Schizosaccharomyces pombe: one gene and its partners. Changing the gene in region 3 together with the main gene of any one other region gives a genetic interaction. Each region holds a gene or a part of one and is shown on either strand. Other genes may lie near its edges.

Region 1 (8,499 bases), 2.3 Mb from region 3:
GATGAATTGGTTTTATCTATACCACTTCGAACAGTACTCTAGGTTTTTGGACAAAGTTCATGTCCTTAAGGGAGAAACTATTCGCGTTGAAGAGGATCGGAAAGGACTCTTCAACCTTTCCAAAGGAGCACAACAATCTTACGGGAATCAAATGCTCTCAGTAAACTTGCGCCCTCAGGATTTTGATATGAACTCTGTGTTGACAGCATCTACAATGCATCATATTGAATCTTCCCCACAATATATTGAACGTGTTTATTGCTCATGGGAATTAGTCTTGACGGAACACGTCTCTTCTGAATATGCTTTTTTGCTGGAGTACTTTAACCTCTCTAAAGATCAGCAGGCTACCGTTTTTGCCGCTATCTTTGAAAAAACTTTACATTTTTCACGCAAATACATTACAGGATTGATATCAAGCAGTATCGATTGCATAGGTATTTTGAAGTCCATTCGTTTTACTCAAAAATTAGCTTTACAGGCGCAAACTAATATAGTGCCTGTTATTGAGCCACACTATAACTCCATGATTCTTTTTCTGTGGCCTCGCTTTCAAGCTGTCATGGACATGCACTGTGAGTCACTCCGTAAAACTAACTTATCTGTGAAGCCAGAAGAAATCACTTCGCGACCTCATCCACTTTCGCAGCGAGTAGCTGAACTACTTTATAGCCTTTCGATGCTAAGTGTTAATGTCGTAGAAGCCGAGCCTGTTGCACGAAGTGCTTCAAGACTAGCTCAGGATTATGTGAGCATGTTACAAAACCTGTGTAAAACAGTTAATGACAAAAGGAGACAAAGTAGGTTTTTGTCCAATAATTATACCCTCATTTCGACTGTTCTTAGCGGCGTATCGGGAAATTTAGCTATAGAGCAAAAAACATATTTCGAAAAGCTTAATGAAAATTTAACTAATTTCCAATAGCCAAGATTATTAACATATAATAAATTACGTTTTATTCATTTGGTAGGATTCTATATTAAGAAAAAAATTAAAGTAGTTAATTATTTCAGGACACTTTAGTGGTAAACCACAAAAAGCAATATTATGCTTGATGTTCTTTAACAACACGTAAGAATCCAGCAACTCGACCCATATCTACTTCTCCCTGTTGACCGTCACTTTCCACGGCTTGTAACAAACTTTCCAATAATGAATCCACTCGAGATTCATCGACACCGGTGCATAGGGAAACAACCCGACGGCACTTTGATTTTATGTTGGAATTTCGTTGCCAAAGTTTGTTCGCTAATTCGTTTAATCTGGCTTCATTTCTCTCATAAGCAGCAACTTGAAACTTCAATTCAGCAATAGATAAATTTTTGTTGTTGTTTTCATTGACAGTAAAAGGAGCGTCAGCATCCAATGATAATGAATCGTGTATTCCATTGGGATCAAAAGATTCATAAAGATTACTTAATTCACTTTTCTGTTCTTCGATCGAAGTCATAAGATTTTTACAACGTTGCCTTAATTCAAGAAACAAAGTTCTTTGCGTCTCGGACACGTGTAGTTGTTCACGAAGATCGGACAGCTTTTTTGTAGATTCACGCAATTGGGTGTAGGCTGAGTCAATCATAGACTGTTTTGCAGCCATTTCATCCTGAAAATCTTTATCCAGAGAAGATATTACATCGGTCACAGAGGCGATAATGTCTCTACTCTTTTGACGAGGAGGGACAGCAGTCTTTTCTTTGCTGGACAGATTTTCACTCATAAGGGAAACTTTTGTTTGTTTTGAGTCTTCGGGTTGTTTTAATGCGTTTTCAACAAAAATTCCAAAATTTGCTACGCTTAACCCTGCACGATTAGGAATATAAGCGGAAGCTCCGGCTTGCATTAAAACTTCAACAATGTTCTTATTTCCAATTCTTGCTGCGATATTTAAAGCTGTATCCCCATTTTTATCTTGATGATTTAAATAGTTTATGAAGTCTTTCAGCATATATCCGTTGTTACCACTTGCATGTTTCTTTGCCCAATTTAATAAGGTTTCTAAGTAATATCTCGATGCTGAACCTCGGCCTTTTATACCTGCAGTAAGACAAATGTGATGAACGACGGTCCGTCCAGCTCGATCTGTACAGGGAAGAGATGCGTAAAGCAAGTCTAGTAAATCACCAAAAGAGTTCTGATTGAGATGATTGGTTACCAAAACCGATCTCATTAATGCCGTTTCTCCTGTGAGGTTGCCACGTAAAGGATTAGCTCCTTTATGTATTAAGGCTTGTAACAAAGGCATTTTGGCAACGGCTGCTGCCCAGTGCAGAGCGGCGTGTCCAAGTTCGTCAATGGGGACATCCAAATCTAATGAGTCCGACAGCTTTGCTTCTAAGGCGCTGGAATCAGCAAAGTTTACATCTAAAAAGATAGAGGTCAAAATGTCTTTTGATGTATGATAATCCTGCATAATATTCTGATCAAGTGGAGGAAGACTAGAAACCAAGGATACAAAAGAAAGTGAATGGTTCAACCTTGGCGTATCTGGAAACAATGAAGAGGCCTCATTATCATTTAACTGTGAGGAGGGATGTAAGTCTTCATCACTGACATCAATTCTATGCCGTTTTAAACGCTGTTCAAGGATAGGTGGAGAGGTGGAGAGGTAATTGTTAGAGCGTTTAACATTTTGGCTATCAATTTGAGTTAAAGGTAGTAAGAAAGAGGAAGAAGGTGAAGGTGAACTCTGCATATTGTTTATAGTGTGCACCCCATTCTTTGAAGACTTGCTAGGGTTTGAAAAATTATGATTCCTCAAAGGGGATCGCGTATTAAAAGAAGAAGTATTTAAATTTTTGGAGATTGAAGAACTTTCGATTTGTTGCTGCTTTGAAAATTTGGGGAATAAATCAAGATTAAAAGAAATTAATGGTTGTAAAATTTCATAAACCCCATATCGCTTTGCTATAGAAATTGCTCGATCATATGGAACCCATACTCCATCTATTTGAGGGTGTTTGGAGTCAACATTCTCATAGTCCCCACTCTCGATAATATCATCCAATTCTTTGGCGTTTTCAGATGACGAAGTACCAGCAAGTCGAAGTATTTGAGAGATATTAAAGTAAGAATCTGGACATCTTCGAAGAGCAACATTATCCCCACAGCTAAGCTCCATATATTTCATGCCTGAACATTCGACAGCATACAATTCTACGGGTCGGCCATCACGTAAAACTTGGGAGTTAATAAAAATCCTTGAACTAGAGTCTTTTAAAGTAGATGAATCGTTTAGTTTGTTTATATTTCTGTTTGAAAGGGGTTGTGATGGCTCATCCTCTGGGCGTTTTTGGTATGAAAAAGAATCGTTCCCCAGCTCAAACTGGCGAATAAAATTGGCTGAAGCCATTATAGTATATTAAAATAAAAAATGCCGAAAAAATATCGAATTTTTTATAAAGGGCAGCACGTTTTTCTCGAAAATAAGGGTGCTGAACTGACCATGAAAGAAGACTCGAGCTCCTCACCACTTGGTTTGTTTAAGAGATTGTGAATTCCTTTCTTTTTCAAATAAATAGAAGTAATTTTTTCGGATTTCGTGTTATACACAAATTCGCTCTGGGAAGGTTCACGCAGCTGTATACATTTGGTACGGCGTTAGACCGTATTCGAAGTAACGATATATGAGGCTTCCTAAGGAAAACAAAGGACTACTTCAATGTTCGTTTCTTCTGGGGGTTTTATTTAAAGGCTACTTAGAAATGGAATTCTTTCTCATTTCAAATACCCTGTTGAAAAATTTCCAACTTTGCTATACTCAACGACTTTACTGTTTCGGGATATGCAAAAGAGACGGATTTTTCAGTCAATTCTAATTTTCCCTAAATAAAAGTTTTGATGTTGAGTATGAAAAAATTATATTTTTTTATTGGTATTTCTAATACAAAGTAGCTTCCAACTTCCATCTTTTTCAAATAGGTAAATAGATAGACATATTAATGACGTCATATATAGAACGCGACGCGTCGAAATAAATTAAATTTAAGGATAACGTGTTCCTTAAAAGAAATGTAAATAAGCACCAACCAGCATGGAACTAAACTGTCAAGGAAACAGGTTCACTGTGGTGCAGCTTACTTAACAGAACGTTTTCCACTTAAAAACACTGCATTCTTTCGGAAACCTTCATGATCAATACGCCCTGCACGAGAGAAGGGAAACAAAATTGCAATCACTTTGGCAGTGATGAGTCCTGTCGATACTGGGCCAAATTTGTTACTATCACTGTAAACTAGTTAATATCTCTATAGAAGAAAACGAAAAAGTAAAAAAACAATTGTTGGAAACCTACATAGAATGAAATTGTTCATCGCCTTCGACCCACACATGTCCCTCGGGAACGGGTACTAATGACAACTTTTTAGGAGGTCTCGTTTTCATGATATCGTATTCTACTCCTAGAACTCTTTTTACCAATAGTTCCTCTGGGTTTTCTGGAGAGCTTGTTGCTTATTAGTAACGATAAAAAGGGAAACTCAGTACCGAAAGACCCTGCAACGATCCAAGAACTTACCGTAGTATAACTACATCTCCTCTTTTGTAATCCTTATTCCATTTCCAAAGTAGTACCCTATCTCTCTGCAGCATGTTTGTCTCAGGGTTAAAGGCTGGTTTCATAGATCTACCTTCAATTGTACCGACGCTGACTACATGTTGTTCAACGAACATTAATACGGGTACCCATAGGGTAATTCCGACTAAATTTTTAAAAAATACTGATTTAAAAGATTGATTTCGAACGAAAGGGTTTGCCATTTTTTGAGGACAACTGCTAAACTCTCTCCTCTAAGAAGTTTATGATTAACCGTCTGTATGTACCTTAACAAGCATGGGAGTTTCCGTAATTAATAATTAAACCAGGAAAACGTATTAATGAATTTTATCTGATAAGTGTCAGGCTTCTATTCCTGATCGTTTTTGTTTCAATACGGTGTGTTGCAGTAGGTAATTCAAAACCACATTAAGCTTAGCTTCCTTCTAATATTATTATAGCGAAAACTATTATTTACTTAAATTAACAACCATGGTAATAGATACAAAAAAACAAATAAATATTCTGTAAAGAAAAATGTTTTATTTTAAGAATTTATTTCCATTTCGTAAACGTTGTCCAACCAAGCTTTTAGCTACATTTGTTATTGTTAGTAATTTTGCAAACAAACAGGCTATATAGTGTGGAAAAGTAGTCTAATTTACTAAGCACCCACTATGGCTTTTTGAGCAAATACTTACCTCCCCATAAGAAACTGAAACACAATCAAGTTCATCTCGGGAAATTAATGCGATGGCTTGATTTATACCGGCATCAAGCTAATGAATTAATAAATGCAATAATGAGAAAAATGTAAAAAACTTACCTTTCCCAGGCGATTCAGCACTTGATATAAATCTATCACAGGACACTCATCTTCATCTATCTGATGGAAAAGATAATCTCGTAATAAGTAGATTAATGAAATTTCTTTTTCTCGTGCGATAGGATATTCACGAGAAGCTCTATTATTATCAATAATAAACATAATCTTGCACAAAATATTAAAAAATCGACCGTGTTGGAAAGCGTCCGAAATTTTTCTCTCCATTTTTTCGCATTCCACGTATGGTGAACTCATTATAGGGAAAAAACTTTCTATGTGATTTTGCAAAAACAACTCCAAGTTTTTATCCTCAGGAACTTCCGATACAAAGTATAAAACCGCTTTATAAAATTCCCTCGAATATGTACTATAAATTGCTCGTGCGGCTGAAGACATGTCCATATCAGTTCTTCCAGTAGCTAAATTCGCAATCACAACTCCAAGATCTACAAAATCCTGCTTCTTTCGTTCCTCTAATGGAGGCTTGTTTGACACTACCAATTCATAGTCAGCGCAACCACTAATACGAATCCTTTACACGTTAGTATAAGTCATTAATGAATTAAAGAAATGTATTCCATCAAAACATAAAAAATGTTCAAAAAAAAATACCTTTCAGTTTGATCCACAAGGATTCTCGACGGAGTAAGCTTGTTGCAAGCAAACCCGGATTTATGTAGATATGACAAAGCGATAGTAAGCTGGAAAAAATAATTCCATAACTCTCGTTCTGGAATTTTTCTATTTTCCTCCAACTTGACAGAATTTTTAGAATTGTTTAGGTAGAGCTCACCAAGGGTTGTAGTACACGGATAAAAATCATAAATTAATAGTAACGCTTGATTAATTAGTAAGGTTTAGTAAAATAAACTTACAAGAATCATGAAATGTATCAGTATGAAAAGCAGAATGGAATGGTACGATATTTGGATGAAAAACATTTTTAAGCTTGTCGACAGTCGACGTATCAATATTAATTGAACAGTCTTTTAAATATATTAGCAATTGCAATTTATGAATCTGAAGGTTACCTTGGAGTCGTTTCAAAACGTAAGCATTCCCATCGATGGAAGAAGTGCATTTGTACGTCCAAGAAGAGAATCCAATTTGCTCTTTATACCGATAAAGCTTTGTATTCAGTGGCGCCAAAGAAGTATATGAAGATATAATAGACGGAAGCGCTAAAATATTAGTATAAAGGAAGCTAGACACAAATTAAGTACCTGAAATTGTCTGACGGGATGCCTCGCTCTTTCTCTCGATTCTTTCTCTAGTCGTATCATCAATAAATAGACCGTTTACAGTTCTTTCATAAGGAAGTAAAGTTGGCATGGGAGAAGGTTGCGGATTATATAAATTGTACAATGTCTGTTGTTGTCAACAACAATAATAAGGCTTTAGACTTACGGGTTTAAACTGGTTTTGACGAGTATAATAAACCCCAGAGTCATCATGAAAAGGCTCATTGACCAACATAGATGCATTATTGTAAGGATTAATAGCCTAAAATTACAGTAAAATTAGTAAGAAAAATATAAGCTGTTAGCCAGACATACATGACTACCTGGTGAAAGCGCAACAGGGGTACGCTCTCTAGATAGAAAAAGAGATTTTTCTTGTGATTTAGGAACAAATACTGCAGCGCCAGCAGCCTTTACTGGTAAAGCGCGAACAGGTTGAAAAGAGGCCGACGCAGCATTCAGTTTTTTCTTACTAGCGAGGTTAATTATACGTACAAAGCCTTAAAAAAAATCATACACTGAGTATTGCTCCAAATTCTCTGAAGAAGGGATGAAAGGCTACAAACAATCGTAAGCAAGAAGCTTCTCTGAAGTTAAGAGAATACGCCTATACTTACACCATCATGTCGAAAAGCACATCCATTTTCTGAATGCTTACAGGATCCATAAAGTAAGATATTTCTACATAATGTTCGTTTAGCTTTGGAATGGTCTATTAAAAATGGTGGTCAGTCAAGTTTTGCTTTGAATTTCCATTTACCTTTCAAATCAGTCACTGACGGAGACCTGGAACTCTCCCTAGAACGGGAAGTTGGCTTTGGGCTTGCAGGAGAATTCTTCCTCACACTCATCCTGTCAATTTCCAGGCAATCCCAAGCTAACAGTCTGAGATTATAGCAATTTAGTTACAGGTCGTGGAATCAGTAAGTCCCGGACAATACTAATAATGCAGCACAACGAAGTTTACTGTAATACTTTGCAACGCTACATTTTGTTTATATAACAATTTCATAGTAGTAATATTTAAGCATTTGAGAAGACAGTAATTCTAATTTATTTTTTATCTGTTCTTTACATGTAACGGGCAGTAACTATTTCGAAAACTTTAACAATAGCAAGTGTTATGTAGCAGTTGAACATGTCTTCGTAATGCTGCTATCTTTCTGCGATCACTGTAATTTAATTGCAAATCATAAAACCAAAGTAACTGAATTTTTTTTATCTTAACTTCTTCCTTAGTGCCAACTTTTGCGAATTGTTTCAAATGCAAAGCTATGTTTTTCAAGCAATTCGGCCTCCCATATATAGCCATTGCAAGTAAGAAAACTTAGTTCGCAGTTATAAATTCCCTATAGAAACTAACAGCTTGCCAAATTCACACTCCCCTGTTTTGCTATAAAATGCAATAAAAAATTACTGAAAGGGGTGGGACTCGAACCCACGAGCTTTCGCACTAGTGCCTTAAACTAGCTCCATAACCACTCGGACACCCTTCCTTTTTTGATCTGTCAGACAAAAAAGTATATATTATTTATTTAATTAATTAAAGAAATTTTAGGAATTCAGAAAAATATTTAAATTGCTAAAAAGAATAATAACAGACTGTCAATTATAAAAGCATATTTATTACCCTATTCTCTTTACATTGTCCTCTAAAACAGAGTAAGGAATGAAAAGTCTAATTGAGTTAAAATAGCTCAAAATGAAAAGAGAACGGTGAATTTTGTATTGAATAAGCTTTTAATTTTTTGAGAATGGTTACCCATGTTTTAATACATTCTTGAAAACTTAAAGACAAGTGTATGATATTTGGCATTTATCTCTGTCTGATTGGAAAAATTATTTTTAAAAGCTATGGCAAGTATGTGAACAAAAAATGGAGAAAATGCGTGAATATTGT
Region 2 (9,659 bases), on a different chromosome or scaffold from region 3:
TCCTACCAAATCGGCTACAAATACTATGGCACGAAATACGTGAATGCAATATGGCTCATCTCTTTACCTCTCTCTATAGGTAAATATGTAAATACTTAAGGCAAATTAAATTCTTTTTTCATCCACTTAAGCATTTTAACGTGTCATTTCGCACTGCTTTGTATTTTATTAATATTTTATTAAACAAAATGCGATAACTAGCGTAATTTGGAATAAAAAAACACCCATTCACCTCGTAGCATACACTTCGCTCGTGAACGCTATTTTCCACTTCCACTATCTCGTCTAGCGTGAATGCGGGCATAGCGATGCAGCGACACATTGCAGTATTTCACAATTACAAAAGTGTCGATCTTTTTGTTGTTGCGCTAAATAGTGTGCTACTAAACATTTTGATACATTCTATAAACTCGCCAGCGTTTATTCCATTTAGTGTCTTTCTCGTATTTTGAATTCATGTGTATGTGCTAGTAACTAAAATTTCTTCTCATCCAATTTTTTTTTTTTTTTTTTTTTATTTAAATTCTCTTCCAACCAACTTCTACTCGTTCATTTTTCTATTGACATTTGTGTTTAACTCATACCTCGTAATAATCACGTTTACCAATTCGACGACCCTCAGCAATTGACTCTCTGAGCCACATGAAATCATTTTCTTATTTTTTTTTCTAACTTTTTTGAAACTCCTCAGCACGTTCCCACAACTTTTTAGCAGTGTCAACAAAGCATTCCTCATCGGAGCGATACTTCAATCCAATCGACCTTGAGTAAGAACCATCCAATACCATGAATCCAGGATTGATAGACGCTTTTTCAGGCTTGGAAATAACTTGTTGCTTGTCAGGAAAGTGATTACGAAGTGTGCTGCAAATTTCCTCTGAAGTGAATAATCCCTTGCATGCAATCATTCGACCGTTCGATAATTTTTTGTTTTCTAGCGCTAATACATGAGCCGCTGCTAAATCGCGAACATCCACGTAATAATAATAAGGTGAAGAAGGATTGGCTTTGGAACCATTGATCAAGCTCCATATCACCAAATTCGATGTGTTTAGTGAGTCCATGTTCTTCATAGGTTGAATTGGCGGTCCAAACACATAAGGAGGATTGACTGTGCAAATATCAAACGAAGAGCGCTTTTGCGCTACATAATCTCTAGCGGCCCTTTCGGCACAAGTCTTTGACGCACAATACGCAAAGGTTCCGTCTTTCGTACTTATTCCCTGCTCATACGTGATGGGATTCCAATCCTTCTCCGTATACACTTTACCGCTATTAACGTCGATTTCGAGATTAATAATGGCGGCAAAAGAGGAAGTAATCACAATGCGCTTCACACTTTTCTCACCATGAGCTGCCTCTAAGACACTTAGTGTGCCTTTAACTGCTGGATCCAAGAGTTGTGTTTTGTTGTCAGTAATATTATCAACAAACAATGGAGACGCTACATGACAAACGTAATCCACATTTTTTATGGCATCTTCGAATGCATTAGGATCGACAATTCCTTGACAATTACAAATTCCACTTCATCCTTAAAATCAGGATTCAATCGAACAAGTTCATTCGCTTTTTCCATGCTTCTCACCGTACCGCGCACATGATATCCAGCTTGTAGCAGTTGTTTAGCAACATGAGCTCCAATAAATCCTGTAATCCCGGTGACAAGAACCAGTTTTTGGCTCATTATGGGTGATTAACGATTTTAGCAATAATACAATTATAACCTTGTTACAATAAATATAAACGGTAGTGTATCGTGCTTATGTAAGCTTGCTTAAGTAATAACAACCTTAGTCAGCGTACGATTATTGTCTTACTTTCAAATTTGCACTAGGACTTTGCGCCTTGTCATATATCCGCCAGCTTTCAAATAATCGCTTCGTAATACCACACAAACCCTATGTTAAGTTAAATAATTGTGGAATGGTATCAATGAATGAGTGGATTAATTTTCCAGTACAGGTAAATTCCCACCTTTTTCCTTAACTGAAAAATGGATGAAACTGAAATCATGAATCTGTCCAAGGAATTCCAAACGTGACAAGAACAAGCAGTCGTTGTTTGTTGGCCAAGTTATTAGTTTTTACATTACAAATACAGAACAGTTGAATGAAAGCACAAAAGAAAAAAAAATCTGAAACAGCCATCAAATTTAAAGGCAAACAGTACACAAAAAAAAGTATTTGTTTATGAAAATTATTGGTAGTGCAGATTATCTATAAACATGTAGTGGTAATAGTAAAAAGGTGGTGTATTGATATTATGATGAATGAAACCTATGTAGTTCTTCAAGAAAGTTATGCTTAATTCAGACTACATTTTCTGGAAATTCTTTTGCCTTATAACTTTGATGAATTTCATCTATGTATTTAATAGTATATCATTTAGTGATGAATAGTGAATAAATTTAGAGCTCCTTATGTGACAAACAAGGAATTAACTTGCATTCGATTCGTTCGTCTAGCACTAAATGAATCTGTGTTATTTGTGTGTGTAAAGAGATTAGTAAGTAGGCTCTAAAAAAAAAAAAAAAAATGTGTGTATATTTTTAATTTATTTTAAATATTTTTCTCCTTCGGTTCTTTTCTTCTTCTTCTTTTTTTAAGTTTTATTTATTTATTTTTTTATTTTTTTATTTTTTTTTTTTAATTTCAAACAGCTATGCTATAGTCTAGTGCTTCTCTTGCAATTTGACAATGTTTTCGTAAATTTTGCCAGATAAATGAGTTTTTGAGCAACTATTTAAATTCGGTTTAATATATTTAATAAACCTATTTTATTCTATGTCGAGAGAAGATTGAGATGATTAATCATTCCCTCTATCTATTGATTGTTTCATTCATTGTAACTAACAAATTCTATGATACTTCGCCTATCTGATTTACCATTATTCTCACTGTACTTTCTTAAAATGTTCCACTTTGGATGGTTTGGATTCTAAAAAAAGAACACTTGACTTTTCCTTTTTTTGCAAATCCGAATATTTTTAATTCTTGTCTTTTTACTTCTTTGCCCCCCTTTCACTTTCTTCTGCTCCTATCGTCTCCCCCTTTTTTTTTCCATACCTTTCGATATCTGAATCCTAACACAATTTCCTAATGTTCAAGAAAAAAGAATATTCGTTGATATATAAAACAACTTTAATTATCATTCTTTAAGTCATTTCATGTTTATTATTTTAATTTTAGCTTCTCTTTTGAATGCTTAGAGGCACTTTTTTTCCTTCCCTGTTAATTTTTTGCATTCCTTTTCTCTCTTCTCTTTTTCTATTTACCTTTTAACACTAGCACTGCTTTATCCCATGCAACCCTTAAATGTTCGAATCGATAGATAATAGAAGAATCATGTAAAGACTAAAAGGTGATTTTTCTCCCTTTTTTTTTTTTTTTTTTTTTTAAACGACTTTTATTGTATTGTCATTTTGCAAAGTGAAACCAATTTTATTTCTATTGACCCACCACTACTTTTACTAAAACAACAATAACATTAATTCCACAATTTTTTTTTTTTTACCATCTCCTTTAAATCAAAATCCAGGCTAAACCATTCACACCACCTCTTTTCATCTCTTCGTTTTCCTTCCGCTTTTTTGTCTCCGTCGCTAACGGGATCTCTCATTTGTTTACTGGTTATTCCTTCATTCATCAACATCACACTGTCTTTCTTTCCACCACTCACCATGCCAAGTGCCTGAATTCATCTGAACCGTTTCTGTTTTTTGCATGTTATTTTAGGGATCGTATTTCCATATCTTTTCTTTCTCATTTATTTCCAATTTTACATCTTTCCTTTGATTATTTACTTTATATATATGGACAGATCGACATACTAACGTGCACTTACCGCTTCTAGTTAGTCTCCAGTGTGTGACCTTTTCGTCATTACTTTGGTACATTTCCCTTCCATCGGAAAAGTAAGCTACTTCCATTCTTATTCATATTTCTTGTCTTTTCCCCATTTTTTTTTCTTTTGTAGCAGCGAAGAAGAAAAAGGGACATTCATTAAAACCATCTCCTTCAAAAACTCGTAGTTTCGGCTCATCCACTCGTTTCCTGTTTCTGTTTACATTTTTTTCACCACCAACTCTCACTACTTCTCGCTGCTCTGATCCCAAAACTACCTTACACTACACTACACTACGCTGTACTATACATATTTAGCTAGGAGAAAGCAATATCACTAACCAACGAATTACGATTTTTTGCCCAGTTTCGGTATAATACTTCCTCCTTCAACCCGGCCTTCCGACGTGATTTTCGCATTCTCTCCTTATTTATGAAAAATAGTTTCCCCTCCCTTTTAATCAGCTGTTAAGCGTCCTTATCTGCTTCTTTCTTTATAGGCTTTAGACGTTCAATTTGCTGAAAATTTTGTGGTTCCGTTTCTTTGTTTTCCTTCCGTGTTTGCTAACCTTTTTTCGTTGTTTTTGGCTTCTTCTAGGGAACGTCTCGGCTCAGTGCTCCACAATAAGCTATCGCTTAATTTCACTCACTCAGCTTTAAAGGAATACTGGAGTGGAACGCATACCCTAATACCGGATTGGACACTTTAAGGCTATAGCGGCTTTGAACCCCCCCTTTGTACTAGTAAAAGTAGGTGGGTGCAATATCTTCGTCGTAACCTCAACATACCACTTTACTTATTAATAGACATAATTCGTTGAAGCAAACGAGAGCTTTTTTGCTCTCTTGCCTTTGTTTTCTTCTTATTTATTTTTAATTTATTAAACATTTCTCTTTTTTTGACGTTTCTCCTTCGTTTTGACAATATTACGAGCATTGGCTCAATTTCTTCTCTTTTGTTGAGGTGGTAGGCCTTCAGAATATCGGTTGGAATTTTCTTTTTCATTTTGTTTTCTCCCTTTTCTTTATTCCATTTACAACTGTGCATTACGCTTTACCTACGAAATCCTAGTTGCTTCGCACTTCCCTCGTTTATCGATTGTTCGTTCGTACATCTGTTCCGTTTGCATTCCAATTCAATTTAATTAAATCAAAAATTTCATATCTATTTTTTTGTTAAATTGCCACATTTTCCATACAGAAAACATGAGCTCTTCTTCTAATACCAGCAGTCATAGATCTTATGGCTTACGGCGGTCCCAACGCTCCATGAATCTAAATCGTGCTACTTTGCTCGCTCCTCCAACTCCATCGAGCCTGTATGATGCTAACAATTCTACTTCATCTACCTCTTCGCAAAAGCCAAATACCTCTTTCACTAGCTTATTCGGTCCTCGCAAACAGACCACTTCCTCCCCTTCCTTCTCTCATGCCGCCCCTCTTCACCCTCTTTCTCCTCCTTCTTTTACACATTCACAACCCCAGATACAGGCACAACCTGTACCTCGGCGGCCTTCCCTTTTTGATAGACCCAATCTGGTATCACGCTCTTCCTCTCGGTTAGGTGATTCTCCATCTCTTTCTCCTGTTGCCCAGGTGGCTAATCCCATCCACCATACTGCCCCTTCACCCTCAGACGTTCGTGCGTTTCCCATTCATAAAAATGCATCTACTGGTGTAAAACGAAGTTTCTTTTCTTCCTCCATGTCAAACGGTGCAATGTCCCCTCCTTCCCACTCTCCATCTCCCTTCCTTCAAAGCTCTCAACACATACCTCCTTCTACTCCTGCTCAGAAGCTGCGAAAGAAAAACAATTTTGATTCTTTTCGTATCTCAAATTCCCACATCTCTCCATTTGCATCGGGCTCCTTCTCTCCTTTTGCAACTTCATCGCCTAATTTTTTATCGACTTCCACACCCGCTCCTCCTAATTCAAATAATGCTAATCCTTCTACCCTTTTTTCGTCCATACCATCCTCTCGACACACTACCTCTAATCATTTCCCTTCTAACTCCGCTCAATCCTCTTTGTTTTCTCCTACCGCTCGTCCACTTACTGCACGCAAGCTTGGGTTTGCCTCCAGCCAAACTAAGTCTGCCGTATCTAACAACCATTCACGAAATAGCTCTAAGGATGCATCATTTATGATGAAAAGTTTCATCCCTTCTAATCGCTCACATCCTCAAACCCAACAAAATGAATCTTCCCTCTTTTCTGATAACAGTATGGTTAACTCCTCTTCTAATTCATTCTCCCTTTTCCCCAATGCTACTCTACCTAACCCACCCTCATCTGAGTTGTTAACTACTCCCTTTCAACAAATCAAACCTCCTTCCCAAGTTTTTATGAGTACAGGTCTTTTATCCAAGCAACATCGTCCGCGAAAGAATATTAACTTTACACCTCTCCCTCCTAGTACTCCTTCAAAACCCTCTACCTTTGTTCGTCCACATTCTTCCTCCACAGATTCGCCTCCATCACCCTCGACTCCTTCCAATACACAAACCGACTCTTATTTTATTCAACGGGAAAACACTCCTACAAATCACAATTCCATTCCTACTATTCAGTTGGAGAAAAGTTCCATGGACTTTTTGAGGTTCGATCCTCCTCCTTCTGCTGTAAAAACTTCTCACAACTATGGATTACCATTTCTATCTAATCAGAGGTGTCCCGCTACGCCTACTCGTAACCCATTTGCGTTTGAAAATACTGTTTCCATTCACATGGACGGTCGGCAACCTTCGCCTATCAAATCGAGAAATAATAATCAAATGTCATTTGCCATGGAGGAAGAAGCTGATGTATCTCAACCCTCTTCTTCAAGCTTTACATTATCCTTTCCTTCTGCTCTCACCTCGTCCAAAGTATCATCATCTACTTCACATTTGCTTACACGGTTTAGAAATGTTACTTTACTAGGAAGTGGAGAGTTTAGTGAGGTTTTTCAAGTTGAAGACCCTGTGGAAAAAACTTTAAAGTATGCAGTGAAAAAGCTCAAGGTAAAGTTTAGTGGACCAAAAGAACGTAATCGACTACTTCAGGAAGTCTCTATTCAACGAGCCCTTAAAGGCCATGATCACATTGTAGAGCTTATGGACTCATGGGAACATGGGGGGTTTCTTTATATGCAAGTCGAATTGTGTGAAAATGGTAGTTTGGATCGTTTTCTTGAAGAGCAAGGACAACTTTCAAGGCTCGATGAATTTAGGGTATGGAAAATATTAGTAGAAGTAGCTCTTGGGCTACAGTTTATTCATCATAAAAATTATGTTCATTTGGATTTAAAGCCTGCTAATGTTATGATAACATTCGAGGGTACCTTGAAGATTGGTGATTTTGGAATGGCCAGTGTTTGGCCTGTTCCGAGAGGCATGGAAAGAGAAGGTGATTGTGAATACATTGCGCCTGAGGTTCTTGCTAACCATTTGTATGATAAACCTGCTGATATTTTCAGTTTGGGTATCACAGTCTTCGAAGCTGCTGCTAACATTGTTCTTCCTGATAACGGTCAGTCTTGGCAGAAATTACGTTCCGGTGACTTATCAGATGCTCCTCGACTTTCTTCAACAGACAACGGTTCATCTCTTACTTCTTCTTCTCGTGAAACACCGGCTAATAGTATAATAGGCCAAGGGGGACTTGATCGCGTTGTAGAGTGGATGCTATCTCCAGAGCCTAGGAACCGACCTACCATAGATCAAATTTTGGCAACTGATGAGGTTTGCTGGGTTGAAATGCGTAGAAAAGCCGGAGCCATAATTTATGAAGGTATTCATGGATCTTCTTCTAACCCCCAGGGTGATCAAATGATGGAAGATTGGCAGGTGAATGTTTAAACCTTTTAGAGACTCTTGTTCTCAATGTTTATTACTGCGAAATTGCGAAATAAGGGAATGGCTTCCAAAATCTGTTTAGCTTCATAAAAGCAAACACTTTAATTATTTTTAAACGAAAAGTTTAGTGATTGGTGCTTATAATTAATTTTGGTTCATTAAATGCTTTTTTTTTATTTAAGGATACGTGTCCGTTTTAACCGAACCCTTAAATTTTAAAAAATTTTAAAAAATTATTAGATGATAGTTTTTCTATTTAATTTTTTGCCTTTTCACCGGATTATCTATTTGGTTTTCTTCAGTCAAATATCCGGTTAATTATATCTGAGGCAATATGATGATGGCTATGGAAACATGCCATTCAGTTCTTGATATGGGGAACTAGAATGTTTCCTTAATTTAAAGCCTTGACGCCGCACATACTGTACGTGCTTTGTCTACTGAAAAAATGTTAGTGAACGATTGTTTTTTATATCGCAAATCCTTTCTCTAACATGTAGACTCGGCTTCAGAGGAGTTATTATTCCTATTTTTCATCTATTTTATTGTCTAATTTCTTATGTCACTCGTTTGTTATCGACTTGATATGTTGCATTTACTCATCTTTGCTAGCATAAAGTTCGAATCCCGACTGTTTATCCACTTTTTTTTGACTTCTGTTTTCATAATAATTTAGATCGATCGATGACACTGCCTATTATTCTTGTACATAGTTTACGATCTTGCTGAATGGCAAATAATTGGTTATGTTTATGGAAAATGCCACGATTTACTAACGAAGTTTAATAACCCGTTAGATTTTTTATTATTATCATATCATATAATAATTAGTAATAATGTTAACGTTATGCTTAGTTCCACTTCTGTAATTTTTAATTTCCCTTTTTTTTTATGCTTGTGAAAGCTGTGTATATGCTCAAGTTTGTGATGCCTTCAAATTAGTATAGGATTTTAATGACCCGTTTAACACTTCATATCTAAATAAACATTTATTTTGAAACAGAAAAGTTAGAAAATTCAGGTATCATCACGTTTTCATTTATCAGACACAAGCATAAGCTATAAACTATTTAACGAGTGTCTCATTATTTCACTAAACACCTTCAAACATTGAAATATTACTTTGACAACAGCACGGGAGAAAAATGCTTGGGAGACGAATATTTTCTCCAGCTCCAAACAGAGGATTTATTTTATGCAATCTCATACAATCTAATAACTCTACGCGAAGAGGGTTTTCGGACAATCGAAAATTTAATGAGAGAAATTCTGAAGCATCTTCAAATGTAGGATTTCAGAGAAGAGTTCGCTCAAATATTCCATCATATTTATCAGCCTCCGTAGAAGAAGGTGATATTTACTCTCCCAATGATTTACTGTTTGAAACGGTAAAGGCGAAAAATCAAGCCAAATTCTATGAACCAGTAAGAGAAGATTGCTTTAAGACGGTGAACGAAAACCCTATGAATTATTGGAAAAACCCCGTAATATTGTCAAGATTCGTTACTGAACTTGGTCGTATTAAACCCAGAGGTGATACTGGCCTAACAGCAAAAAATCAACGACTTCTTTCTAGGGCTATCCGAAGGGCTCGAGCTGCTGGTATAATGCCGACGAAATACAAATCAGTTTATTCGGAAAATTAAATTGTACTGAATATTAACAAGGACGTTCTATATCTCATTTCATCACATTGGTAGATATACTTACCCACTGTCCCTTACTTTTTTTTTCTTAAGGAACGATAAACGATCTACTTTACTTTTTAAATGATTAGCTCACGTTAATTAATATTTCAGGTGTACTTTGGTTTTGAATAGTCTTTTTTGGATTAAAATATACATGACACAAAATCATAAACCGCTGCTAATATTAGTGGCTAACATTTTTTAATGGCTTTAAAAATATAATATCTTTGTTATCTTTAATTTTTAATTTAGCTTGATTGAACTTTTTTGTAGGAGGAGCGTTAGTCGA
Region 3 (8,670 bases):
AAGAGCACTCAAGTGTAGGTTTGTTTGGGGTTATCCATTCATTGATTGCATTTCTAATTAGCATATATTACTACAGGCTATTTTCATATATTATGAAACCCCACAAATGTTTGACTTGGCTACCAAGGCACTGCAAACACTTTACAACTCCCATACTCGTGAAGGCGAGACAAAGGCAGCTTCCAAATGGTACAGAAATCCCCGAAAAGATTTTCCAAGTCAAGAAGCTGCTTTAGTAAGAAAGAAGAAACGCGATGCTTTGATTTTAAAAAAATATTTACTCAATGTGGATCCTTCTTTGTCATTTCGTGCAGAGGTAATATTTACATATTGAGCTCATTTATAATAACTTGACGATTATTAGGGTTTATTCACATTACCTTCAGATGATTTGGACGTTTACGAATTTTTCGGTGGAGAAAATCTTACTTTATTCAATCAAGTCCGTGTGGATTGCCAATGTTATATCCACTATCTGCCCAAGTTAGCTGTATGTATTTTAAGTAATTTCTTTTTACAGGATGCTTACATTTCATTCTTTCAGGCCTTTTATGTTCGATGCGACAGTGTAAAAAACTTAAAGGTTGCTTTGAAGCGAGTCAAACACATTTTTTACGAGCAGGTCTCTTTAATTAGATTAGAAAGGACTCAGCCAATACTGCATCTAATGAATTTTGACGACTACTCAACCTCTTATGAACTGTTTTATGATCGAAACTTCCCATTAGCGAAGAAATACAAGCCAAATTCTATTTATCTGCATCGCCTACCCGAATCGATACCGACTCCTGTCGATAGTGTTAAAATTAACTTGTATGTGTTTTTTTTTAAAAAGGCTGGTATATTTATTGACATAACTATAGGATTCGTGAAAGGAGTTTCAATCTTTTAAAAAATTTCGTTTCAGCATCTTTATTTAATGTTTTTTTATTCTCAGGTACAGTTTTTATGCGAGTTAAAGTTGGTATACCTCTATTTGAACGACTCAAAGTTGGTACTAATAAGGTGAAAAATAACTCCGTGAACATTGCACAAAGTTTTTTGGAGCCCCAAACACGGTCAACGTTTTTGAGGTATTTATTCTCTGACGAAGTTTCCGTAAAAGTTTGCCATGTTTTAAAAGAGCTCCGTAGTCCCACAGGCGAAAAACTCTTTGAGTCTTTTTCAGATGATCCTATCACAGCCGTACATTTTGAAGTGATGAATTGCAAAGGTGTTCAAGATACATTGACTGCAATATGGAATACTAATTCAGGCAAACCTAGCGGGTGGTATCTTGAAAGTACTATGTACAAAGCCTTGGACGTTACCTATTACAACTTGAAGTACGTGTTTTTACTCATTTCTTTTCTAACACTCTTGCAGTACGCTTTCATGGAACCTTTACATTGAGTATGGACATCCAACCCAAAACTCAACTTTTTACAAAGAGTTCATATCAAATATTTCTATGTCGTAAGGCTGACTATTAAAAGAAAATTATAAGCTGACCATAAAGTGATGATGGAAGAATCTATTTTATGAATACCAGAGACATAAAAGTTCGGAGTCTAGTTGTCAAATTGAAGGTAAATGAAGTTCATTTAGGCATTACTGTTGGTTTTTACAATTTTTGAGTAAGTAGTTAACTAATTTTAGCATAAATATTGGCATTTATCTTCCGGTTTTCATTTGCATATAACTCGGTTTGAAGCACACGATATGGGCAAAGTTAAAGATATAGATACAGACTTCGAACCTGGTCTCCAATGTTACCAAGTTGGTTCTGACACTTCGGTTCTTCGTTATGGACTCTCGTTTTGGGATCCAAAATGGGATTATCTATTAGCTGATAATCAACATAAACAGCAATGGCAAGCTCCATCTTATAAACCACTGATATCGGAATTTTTCCCTATGGGCATTGAACATTTTATCGAAACGGCACAATCCATTGTTATGGCTGTAAATCGATCTACTATTGATTAATAAAAAAAGGATCACGATATTATTTTTAAAGAAACACATTTAATGTTTTGGTTTAAGTTGTCTATCGAGAGTTAGATGTTATTTGTTTTCATTTTTATTATGAGCAATATACGTTCTGCAAGCTATGAACATAATAAAGTAGTATTCACCTCAAGGAACTATCATTATCATTATTATTATTAATATTACTCCGACTCATGGTGTAGGATATGGGATTCCCAATCGGCAAGTAGCTCAACATCCAGAAAATATAGTACTATTTTGTTATCGTAAGGTCCTAATTGTAAAAAAGAAATAATAGCACAATACTCGTAGTTGTTTAAAGCAGCATCATTAGCAGAAACACAATTGTTATAACGTTACTAGCCACATAGATCAAAACACATATGCGACAGATAATCAAATCTAAGACTTAAAGGTGGGATAATTTAAAGGCATCCATAATTACACTTCTCCAAATGATTTTGGTTTCATAATGACACCAGCATGTACTATGCATCTGGCAATCTTCAAGTACCCGAGCATATAATAATAGAACAAAACAAAAACAAAAGCATTAGGAATTATCGGCGACTCGTTTACAGGACATTACGGTTGCTATTAGTGATAAACTAATACACATATAAAGAGCGCTTGAACAAGTTGGAATATTCACAATTGAAAGAGGTTGAGATAGTGATATGCACAATACACTAAATTACCATTCTTCATCTTTCATGTCATGTTGTATACGTTTTTGCTTGTGAAAAGTATAATCTTCATCAGCGTCATCGCCAAGAGGGATAGAATTCTTCTTGATCCAGTCACGAACAAAAAGACTAGCTTTCATAAACTTTTTGGAGGCATACTTCTTGAAAAAAGCTTCATGTTGAACAGGCTTTTGTAAATAATTAATCATCTTCTTAACAACGGAAATTAATTGGTACTCCTCATAACCTGAGTAATGCACAAGATTACGATTCCACGGTCCACGTCCAAGCATTTCCCTGGCAAGGTACATAGCGGCAGCACACTGTTGGGAAGGGGGATAAGGTAAAAGTTTATGATCTAAAAGACCAATTTCAACAAGATACTTTGCAACAGTTCTTGTTTGAATATCGTAAAAGTCGGCTTTTGAGATACGACGTAGGAAATTCATAGGATTCGGGTAAGCAAGATTAAACTCTAGGACACGCAAAATGTAGCGCTCGGCTTGAAGAATTTCCTCTTCATCATACCCACCATCCGCCATATATACAAAGTTTTGGACTGAAGGGCACATCACCTCCTCATACTTGCTAGCGATGAACAAGGCAGCAATGCCAACCAATTGTAGTTTGTTAAGAGAGCATACCCGCAATGATAAAAATCTATCAATAATATTTACGGCCAAAAACAATGTTTCAGGAAGCAGTCGGAAACGAGAATGCACTTCAATTAACCAATCGGTAAGTATTCCACGCATCTTCCATGCAAGCTCTTTTTGACGATCCATATAAGTAGGAGAGGGCATAGTTTCAATTTCCAACTCATTCAAATATTCAAAAATATCAACGACATATTCAGAAACCATAAGAGGGTCAGCCCAATCTTCTGCATCCAAGTCATCCCAATCTTGAGATTCGGGACTCTCAACACTATCACGGTGAAGTTTGGGAATATCTTTCGAAACAACGCGTTCATCAACATCTTTCTTTAATTTTTTTGGAATAGTTGCTTGATCCTTATGGAAAGCATCAACCCCATGGGTTGAAACAGAGTGTGATTTCGTTGACAAGTGTTGAGGTAACGAGGGGACTGATGAATTAAAAACAGAAGGTTGGCGACGCTTCTTGGAAGCGGGTTCATCATCTGTTGCAGGGATTATAGACTTTTCCTCGAGAGCACGACGGGTACTGACAGAAGCAGTAGTGTGTCTGACATTTGTGTTTTTACTAGCTAATGGAACACCTTCTTTGTTGTGAAAATTGGAAACATCATCCAACGCATGACGCTTCTTAGGAACGTTGGTGGAAGACACAGTGGCTTTCTTGCCATTTACTAAAGAATTTTCTGAAGAGTGCAAAGAGCTTTTTGCACGGGCAATATGGTTTGAAGGATGATTTTCGTCATTGTTGCCCAAGGTATTTGCCAATAGGTGCTGGCGAGTTAAACGACGGGTAGTCATGAGGAAAAGAAGAAACGAATTCTGTCGGGGATTGAAAGAGAGGAAGGGAAATTAAAATATTAATTGGTTCAGGTAACAGAAATGATAAAAAAGAGGTTTTGAACGAACAACCTTTTTAAAGTGTCTAAAAACGTGAAGGGGTAGTACGGGACGGAGAAGATAAAATAGAATGAGTTATACTTGAAAGTTTATACAAAAATTTTAAGGATAAAATCCAAGCAAAAATGTATGTTTCTCGTACGTATAAAGGAGAAAATAATAGCCTTTGACCGAATCTAGAATTTGGCAAGAGCTTTTGAGACTTCTTTTTTTCAATAAAGTAAGGGGATTGCGATGAAGTCCAACAATGGATATAGGAAACGTAGAACACGAAACTGAACTTTGAAATGAAGCTATATGTAGAATCGATGTACGATTTTCCTATATTAACACCAGAACAAGAAAAGAAGGGTAAATGTTGACTTTAAATGACGTTAGTAAATCTAATGAAAAAACAAAATGGCACAATAAAGGATTATCCTATGAAAAAAAGAAACTTTGATAGGAAAATAAAATGGGTAGTTATTTAAATTTAAACCCCCATGTTTTACAGCACCCACCCCTTAATCCCTTCATAAATTTTAAAAAAATAAAAAAATAAAAAGAAATGAAGTTAGACTTAAAGAGGATTTCATGTTTTCGCTGAACTAGGTGAAGTCGAGGAAAAAGGGTGACTATTGATTGGGAAGAAATTTTCACATCTTCAGAAGGTCGTATTGTATGAAAATGTTCTTACACAACCAAAACTGTATTCCCAGCCTTTAACATTACTTACAATCTGATTAAGCTCTTGTTACAAGCAAGAAGACAAGACGAAAGAACAAGCTTTGCTTAACCGACCAGGTTCCGCTTCTTTTCTCGCCTCTAGCTCTAGACAGTGACTAATAGGGGAAAAGTCCTGTTCTTGCTTATATTTCTATGAGCAGGAATGTCGTTTAAGGGTAAAAACTCGTCAAGATGCTGGTTAAGGACAGCTCGTGGTAGTGGAGTCGACTGAAAGGAGTATCGTAGAGGGCGTAAACACTATGGGGTTGTCGGGGTAACGCAACGTTGGCAAGCTGGGAAACAAATACAAACATCAAATAATATGGTAATTTTCAATGTAAACAATAATATAAATATTAAACAAAAACAAACACGAGTTTCGTAAAAATAAGAAAACGGAGATATGGAACCACAATTTAATGTATATGAGCTACCTCACTATTGTAAAAAAGAGGTAATAATGTTATTGTCTATGAAATTATGCTGGGCACATTATATAAAGTAAAGAACGTATATAATCGAAACATGATTGCTTGGGAAATGCAATTAAAAATTAGTTCTTCAAGTTTTCTTTAATAATTACAATATTTAGTGGGTAGCTTACTCGTAAGCAGAATCTGAGCAGGGTAAACAACAAAGTCATCAAAAAAGGGGAGTTAATAATTAAAAAAATTATATGGAACGATTTAATAATGTAAAATAGAAGTCAAATTTTTGAATTTGAGATATGGTCCGTCTTTATTTACATCAGTCAAATGCTTCAAAGAAAAGTGAGAATGCCAGTACACCCACTTTAGTACTATATTATGGAATTTCAAAGGACCCAAATTCATCATATTGAATCATAGGGAAGGAGCAAACGCGCTTGTAATAAAAGAATCTAAATCAGCCTTTGTAAATTTGATATACTACGTAATGAGTAAGCAAAATGAAAAACGATAACAACTTAAATGTATATACACATCGATAAACTAGCAAATGAATATCGACAAATCCTCAATACACATACCTTGTCTTTATTTTTTGTAAAATCACTGTTGATGTATCTAAACAGAGGTTAGCTATAGTGGAACTAACAGTTTTTAATTGATCTTCATACTTATCATAGAACCTTTGATATAAAGGTAGTACAGTTTTCTTAACTTCTTGCAATAGAAAAGTGGCAACACCAGTTTCAAACCTAACAGATTCACGATGCACTTGAACAACAGATGTAACTTGTTCGTTGAAGTTTCGGAATTTTTCCTTTGTAATCTCTCGTTCTTTAGCAGACATAGTGGATTTGTTTTGAGATTTTGTATAGGTAGAATCGAGCATATTTTGAGAACACTGTCGCCAAACTTCCATATACATGGTTGAGTACTTTTGTGATCGATCTCCTAGCTTTTCTAAATCAACGTCTTGTAAAAATGATGCAATTTTTGACTCAAGACATTTTGCTTCAAAATAGACGCTGATGTTTAAAAGCATTACGCCCATTTTCCATCCAATCGTATCCACTGCCTGGGCAGCTGTTTGAACAGAAGTTAGGTAGGAATCCATACAATCCATAACATAGTTCCTCGTAATGTCTTGAACTGAGCGCGCAGGACTGAGATCAGCATTAATTTCGTGTCTCCAGCCCCAATTACCAATACTTTCAAGCAAATAAGAGGCATTTTCATGCTCAGCAAGTTCATTCAAGAAACTCATAATACCATGAGTCATTTCACTGACTCTATCAGTTGTGAGAGGGACTGTTTTGTTGTTATGGCAAGTGCCATTATACAGCCTCGATATAGAAGAAATCAATATCTTTTCCATTTCACGACCAACACCATTCACAAAACCAAGGAAAGAAGCATCTTCAAAAGGCATAAGATTATTCATGTTTTGGCGTGTAACAACGATACAATCAATTAAAGACAACAAAACAAAATTTTCTGCAGCACCTCTTTTTTCATAAACTCCCTCAAGCTGTCTGGTGGCATTGGTGACAGTGTTTATGGCAGGCTTAACGATTTTGGGATAAAGTGCCTTAGCAGTAACTTGATCAAACAAGAGTAGCAATTCCGAGGCAACGGCTGGTAATAGTCTAGATAAAGCAACTAAATTGATCGAAACATCTTCTTTTCCAGTCACGAAGTTAACTGATCCCTCGTTGAGCTTAATTTCATCTGTCCTCATAGAGACGGCATGAAGTAACTTGACAACACATTCGCCCTTTATCTTGATGTATATATTAGAGATATCTGAAGAGCAAGAAACTGGGAACAGAACATCAGCATCGAATTGCTGAATTAAACCTATAAATTGCTGAAGAGATTCATTGGGAAAACTCCACGGGATGGATAAATCCAAAAGTGTAGATGCTTTGTTAAGGGAGGATGCAGCATAAGTTTCAAGTATATTATAACACAATGCACCTAAAATCTGGCATCCTTCTGATAGCATCATCTCAACTTTTTGCTGCGATTTTGAGGCAAATTGAAGTGGACTTCCTTCTAAACTCGTATAATCTTCCGCTAAAGATTTTAGAATGTCCATGACAGATTTTAAATTTTGAGATACTGATTTATTTAAATTTTGGCATTCTTGCAACCCCTTTTGCAGCACAGGAAGGTGTGAATGGATAACTTGAAGGCTCTCCATTTCCTTTAACGTGTCGTAGATGTCTTAAACAAATTAGTAATTAACAAATAAAATTACAACAATACATACTGCTAGAAACGCGATTGTAGTTCGTCACATCATCTCTTAAGATTCCAGCAGACGCCTCGAGGCCGCTCAATCGTTTGTCCATGGACAATAGGATGTTAGAGGCATCAGATACATTCTTTGCGACCGAATTGAGATTCTTTTGAAACGTTTCAAACCCAGCTGTAACGATTTAATTAGTGATCGAGCTTTAACTTTTGAATTTATAAACATGGTAAATACCTTTATTATCATCAAAAATACCACCACTCCTATACCAGTTAGCTCAATTTTTTAATTCTTTAAGTTTAATGTAAGATACATTTTGCATATAATTTTTACGAAGGATGCGATTTATGAAAATCGTATATTATGTGTGGTGAAATGCATGTGCAGTTGTAAGGTGTACAATCCGAAAGAATGTTAGGGTCAACCAGATATTTTTCTGACTCATGTAATGAACGTTTTTGAAAACTACATATGTTTGAATGGAAAATTGATCATATTTTTTAAAAAAGGTTCAGTGTAATTATTGGTTTCCTTTTCTTACACATCGTAGTGGGCTATTAGCGATGTGAAACAAGCAATACGAGAATAGATTTGCATGTATAAATAAAAAATATTGAATTTGATTTAGAAAAATTATCATAATTTTTTGTTTCAGTTCAACTTCTCATTAAATAGCTGAACAGCTACAATATGATGGCCAACATAAGAGGGGATATTAAAAGAGAGTATTAAACGTAACAACAGCTCAAAAAGAAATAAATTCGTCTGTGTCTAACTTAGATCAGTAATTGCGCACAGCGCATTGGAAAAGAGAGACCTCGAAAATTAAACGGTAATAGAAATAAAGCAGACGGTAGTGTGAAAGCTGAATTAAAGTTAAATTTTCAAGTTTTTAATATTAAGGTATCATAAACAAAGGGTGATAATTATAGCATGCATGGATTCAGCGTTGATGTGATGAGAAGAGTAAGTCACTTAATAGTTAAAGCATCTATAAACGACTTTAGGGGGCAGATTTTTTTCTATCTCATCCAGAGTTTCTATGCCCATGTTCTTAAAAGAGCGAC
Region 4 (4,339 bases), 1.1 Mb from region 3:
ATTTAATTGGTTACCTTTTTCTATGATTAAAGCATGGAAAGTAAAATGTGCATGCGCAGTTTAATGGAAATGCTCTTCCCTCCATGTATTTGCTCCCTTTTCATTCCTCTCAAGCCTCCAAACAAATTTGTCCTGCGTTTCATCTTTAGACGTTATATTTCCAATATGTCTCGTTTCATTCTGTCCAATTACACTTTGCCAGGTTCAATCGTTAGTATGTATCCATGCATCTAGTGGTTTCTCCTGCGCTGTTTAGTTTTACTTCTTGTTTATACGATTTATTAATTTTGAATTTTTCCAAACGCTCTAGGTATAGACTTAAGCTGTAAATGATGCTCGCTTAGCGTTCAATATAGTGTGAAATACAAATATTCATATCACTTTCATCTTGTAAAATTTAATAAACACGTATGTCTGTTGAACAATAAGCACATTTACGTTCTTTTACCGTTTGCTCGTAAAATTAATTCACCTCTTTGATACTAAATACATCTAAGTAAGTGCAGTTTATATGTTCAGAGCAAACACGAACACTAAAAACTAAAGTCTAAAGAATATACACCTTTTTTAATACTTAAGTATAAAAAATATGTAAATAGAATATAGTATAAATGAGGATTAAAAAACTGGAAAACAAAGGATAAGAGTAAGTAAGAAAAAGGGAGATTAAAAGGCTTCAGTTTTATCAGGAATGAAAGAAAAATAGATTTAAACACTCAGAGCCTGCTTTTGTAAAAAGAACGGCGATAATTCCCTTGACAGTCAAAGAAAGCATTTAAAGTGATATTTACAATAAAGACACAGTAAAGGGAACAGAACTAAAAACGTTACTAAATTCACATTTAATGGCAAGCTCAATATGTCAGTGTTTTTTATATGCCCTGTAAATTGCCCATTGTTTGAGTATGTTTTGAACAAACGCCAAGATTCGAAAAAGAAGGAGGAAAATAAATATTTTCGGTTTATAAATTGAGGTAATTTGTTAATAACTGATATCAAGAAACACAGCAAAGTACAGATAAAGTCAAGGATAGCGTTTTTAAAGGTTTAATAATAAGAGACGAAAATTAATGAAAATCACGAAGATAATTTTGTTGCAAAGCTCGTTTTGCACTAATGCGATGGGCAGGGTCATAAACAAGCATAGCCTTGACAAAATGGTTAGTAATTAGTCTTAAATAGATGGTAATGCAAAATCTTACAGAGAGTAATTCAATAGCGTCCTCTTCACCATTGGGAACAACTTTATGCAAATCCATGCGTTTCCAACGAGGAAATGTGGATTTGTAATCTTGCAAAAGCGTGACTCCAGGCCATACTTCTTCGTTTGGGGTACCTAAAACTTGAAAAATTTTAAAAATTTCGTCGATCTCAGAGTCACCGGGAAATAATGGACTTCGTCGAATCATTTCAGCAAAAATACATCCAACGCTCCAAATATCAACCCCAGTGGAATAATGTCTTGATCCCAACAATACTTCAGGAGCACGATACCATAAAGTGACAATCTAAACGGTTAGCGACACAAATTAATGCTGAAAGACCGTCAGTCAATATTCCAAATTTTTTGGGAATAAAGTCATACAGCCAAGTAAGAAAAAAAATATACCTCATGCGTATAGTTCCGCAAAGGGACACCAAATGACCTCGCAAGTCCAAAATCTGCTAGCTTCAAATTGCCTTCTTTGTCTATCAACAAATTTTGTGGTTTTAAATCGCGATGAATGATTCTTCTAGAATGGCAAAAATTTACACCGTTCACTAGCTGGTAGGTAAACTTTTGAACAAGTCTCGGATCTAAACTAGTGGCCCCAGTTTCTGAAATTCGGTCCATGTATTTTTTCAAATCCATGTCTAAAAACTCAAAAACAAGATACAACTTTGATTCAGCATGTAAAATATCCAAAAGTCTTAAAAAAGGGTTAGAAACAAAGTTTTATCAATGTAAACATTTCCCATGCATCCGTCAAGTAAAAACTTACCGAACACAATTTGATCGATTATTCTCATCATTCACTTCTTTAAGAAGCGAAATTTCACGAATAGCTGTGCTAGGAACTCCCTCAGATTCATCTTCAAGGCGAATTTTTTTCATGGCCACAATACGCCCTGACAATTTATGTCTTGCTTTATAAACAACGCCATAGGTTCCTAGCATTAGTCAGTATACGTGACAGAAAAGAAATTGGATAAGTCATAGCTTCCTCAGTTACACCTACCTTCCCCAATTTTTTCGACTTTTTGATAATTCTCCATTGCAAACCACTAAAAGAAGCAACCTAGCGGTATGTTTTTTGGAAAATAATTTTTCTAATATCTGTTAATAGAGATGCGAGAATGATCTCAAAATACGTTTATACAAATTTGCTTATGTTGTGTTGTGCTGTGGGTAAGCTTGCTCAACTAGCGATAGACTAGTGGAAACGCAGAGGACTATTATCAAACCGAACTTAGGGCTAGCGCTTCATGTTTCTAACTTATGAATTATACTGTTATCAAAAATGAAATTAGAAAAGTAGGACATAACTCATTACTTGCAATTTATACTAGGTGATCAGATATGAAGAACTACATAATCAAAACATCATCTGAAGACATTGTATAACCGTGAATTAAAAAATTGTAAATGTGAATATCAGTCAAAAAAGTGCTATTATTAAATAAATAAATTTACGGTAGGTTGGATTATCCTGAGTTGTCTAATATTTATAGACTAACCCTTTAAGATAAATGTGAAATTGTAAAAACTGTCAAAGACTTCTCCACCTGCTCGCAAAGAAAACAAAACATTTTTTTTTATTTAAAAGAAAAATAAATAAATAAATATCACACTTATAAAAACAAGCAGAATCCGTGTGTATGTCAGAAGTTACAGAGTCATAAAAAAAATCCAGATAGATAAAAAGCATTGCGAAGGAGAAAAGGTAAAAAAAAGTTAATATAAATAATAACTATTACTAGGGAACAGCATTGAATAAGTCAATATTCATTTACGACGAAGACTTTCGAGTTAACCACACTAATGAACTATCCCCGTGTACACACAGGTGTAAAATGAATGATCTTATATTTCTGCAGTAAAATATGTATTAATCGTTCATCTAATGTAATTTTTCTTGCGAGAAACACTTGTCAATAATGCAGTTGAACTCAATAACATAATCGATGCATGAAATTCCCTTAAAAGAAATCATTGCCAAAGTCATTACCTCCATAATCATCAAAATTGTTGTAGTTATTATCATCTACATAAACAACTTCTTCAGGACGATCAAAAGCTTCGTCCATTTCATGCATAGCCAAACCACCGACAAGAAGTCCGCCCAAACCAGTCACCATGGGATTAGACAAGACTCCGCTACGACCTCTTCTTGCAGAAGTAGCAGGCTGGGCATATACGGGTTGTGCGTAGGCAGGCTGGGCTGGGTAATAATTTGGTTGATTGGGATAATAATATGGTTGTTGAGGATAACCGCCCTGAGGGGGATAAGGCTGTGGAGCGGCCCCGTATGCTCTGTTTTGGGAAGCTGCGGGAGCAGGAGCAGGAGCAGCAGAAGAAGCAGAAGCGGCAGGAGTGGCAGGAGCGGCTGAGTTGGAATAAGAAGGAGGCGGTCCACTTGGGGGAGCAGAGTGGTCCACCGAAGGAGGTGGTGGAATAGTTAAACCACGGACCGGACATTCCCATTGCGGCTTTGCTTTGGGATCACTTTCATTAACATAAAAGTAACACTTGTAGCGTTCATCCCACTGAGCGACCCAGCCATTAGGGAGACCTTCACGAGTTTGATAAGCCATAATGGAATTTAAGAAATATGTTGAGTATAAATTGAGAGAAAAGTTTGGAATGAAGGGAATATCTTAAAAAATAATTTTTTTGGTAAAAAAGACAGTTAACAAAAAATAAATGAATTCTAATACTTCTATCTGCTCTGTACGCAAGAAGTAATGGTAACAACAAATGGAAAGAGAAAGAATACTTCTAGATAGTTGGCCTTTTGCAAATGAAAAAGCAATTGATCAAATAAATGAAATTCCGCGTATGATGGTGAGATAATTATAGTGGTTAAGATCGATAAGAAGGTTGGAGAAGTTTGATGCTAGCAGCAGTCATGGAGCTATTCGTGGTGAAAGGTGCCACTAGTATGCTTAATTTCTTAAACTAATATTCAGCTATACAGTGATTCTTATAGGCAGTTTTTTTTTAAATTTGTTATCTATTACATTACATTATAACGAAACTACTTGAGCAATGTAAGTAATCAATATTCATATAGCGATACTTAGCTGTTTCTACAAATCTACAGATATTATACAGGTAATTGAAAGTCTCAAAGAAGTG

Evidence for each region.
Region 1: of cdc13 (region 3) and cdc10, changing one suppresses a phenotype caused by changing the other (phenotypic suppression), as found in Schizosaccharomyces pombe (3 studies listed by BioGRID).
Region 2: of cdc13 (region 3) and wee1, extra expression of one is lethal in a mutant of the other (dosage lethality), as found in Schizosaccharomyces pombe (one study listed by BioGRID).
Region 4: of cdc13 (region 3) and cdc2, extra expression of one rescues a mutant of the other (dosage rescue), as found in Schizosaccharomyces pombe (9 studies listed by BioGRID, with this or other methods).

The regions. Positions count from the first base shown.
Region 1 is NC_003423.3:2,760,241-2,768,739, forward strand, and holds cdc10 (DNA-binding transcription factor, MBF transcription factor complex subunit Cdc10), read right to left. Parts: upstream 3,561-8,499; 5' UTR 3,351-3,560; coding exon 1,047-3,350; 3' UTR 926-1,046; downstream 1-925. Other genes in the region: GARP complex subunit Vps52, read left to right, coding at 1-925; mmp2 (endopeptidase catalytic subunit), read right to left, coding at 4,075-4,225, 4,293-4,442, 4,515-4,756; PAN complex subunit Ppk26, read right to left, coding at 5,080-5,127, 5,234-5,311, 5,359-5,890, 5,971-6,196, 6,234-6,344, 6,390-6,539, 6,582-6,726, 6,766-6,861 and 4 more. UniProt on the Schizosaccharomyces pombe protein: Major component of the cell cycle transcription factor complex MBF (MCB binding factor, also known as DSC1), that controls G1-S phase specific gene expression. Involved in the control of rRNA production, via interaction with pol5.
Region 2 is NC_003421.2:717,183-726,841, forward strand, and holds wee1 (protein kinase Wee1), read left to right. Parts: upstream 1-4,621; 5' UTR 4,622-5,051; coding exon 5,052-7,685; 3' UTR 7,686-8,653; downstream 8,654-9,659. Other genes in the region: rsm18 (mitochondrial 37S ribosomal protein bS18m), read left to right, coding at 8,828-9,328. UniProt on the Schizosaccharomyces pombe protein: Protein kinase that acts both on serines and on tyrosines. It acts as a dosage-dependent negative regulator of entry into mitosis (G2 to M transition). Phosphorylates and inhibits cdc2.
Region 3 is NC_003423.3:416,567-425,236, reverse strand, and holds cdc13 (G2/M B-type cyclin Cdc13), read right to left. Parts: upstream 5,127-8,670; 5' UTR 4,929-5,126; exon of another isoform or gene 4,802-4,928; intron 4,576-4,801; 5' UTR 4,115-4,575; coding exon 2,666-4,114; 3' UTR 1,969-2,665; downstream 1-1,968. Other genes in the region: protein dsh1, read left to right, coding at 1-14, 77-316, 365-490, 545-813, 864-1,325, 1,366-1,455, 1,499-1,568, 1,639-1,968; exocyst complex subunit Exo70, read right to left, coding at 5,761-5,826, 5,928-5,964, 6,018-7,572, 7,619-7,777, 7,838-7,866, 7,917-7,918; protein Ppr10, read right to left, coding at 8,579-8,670.
Region 4 is NC_003423.3:1,498,257-1,502,595, reverse strand, and holds cdc2 (cyclin-dependent protein kinase Cdk1/Cdc2), read right to left. Parts: upstream 2,389-4,339; 5' UTR 2,353-2,388; exon of another isoform or gene 2,311-2,352; 5' UTR 2,257-2,310; coding exon 2,220-2,256; exon of another isoform or gene 2,152-2,219; coding exon 1,983-2,151; exon of another isoform or gene 1,911-1,982; coding exon 1,610-1,910; intron 1,509-1,609; coding exon 1,203-1,508; intron 1,149-1,202; coding exon 1,068-1,148; 3' UTR 501-1,067; downstream 1-500. Other genes in the region: protein wwm1, read right to left, coding at 3,181-3,795.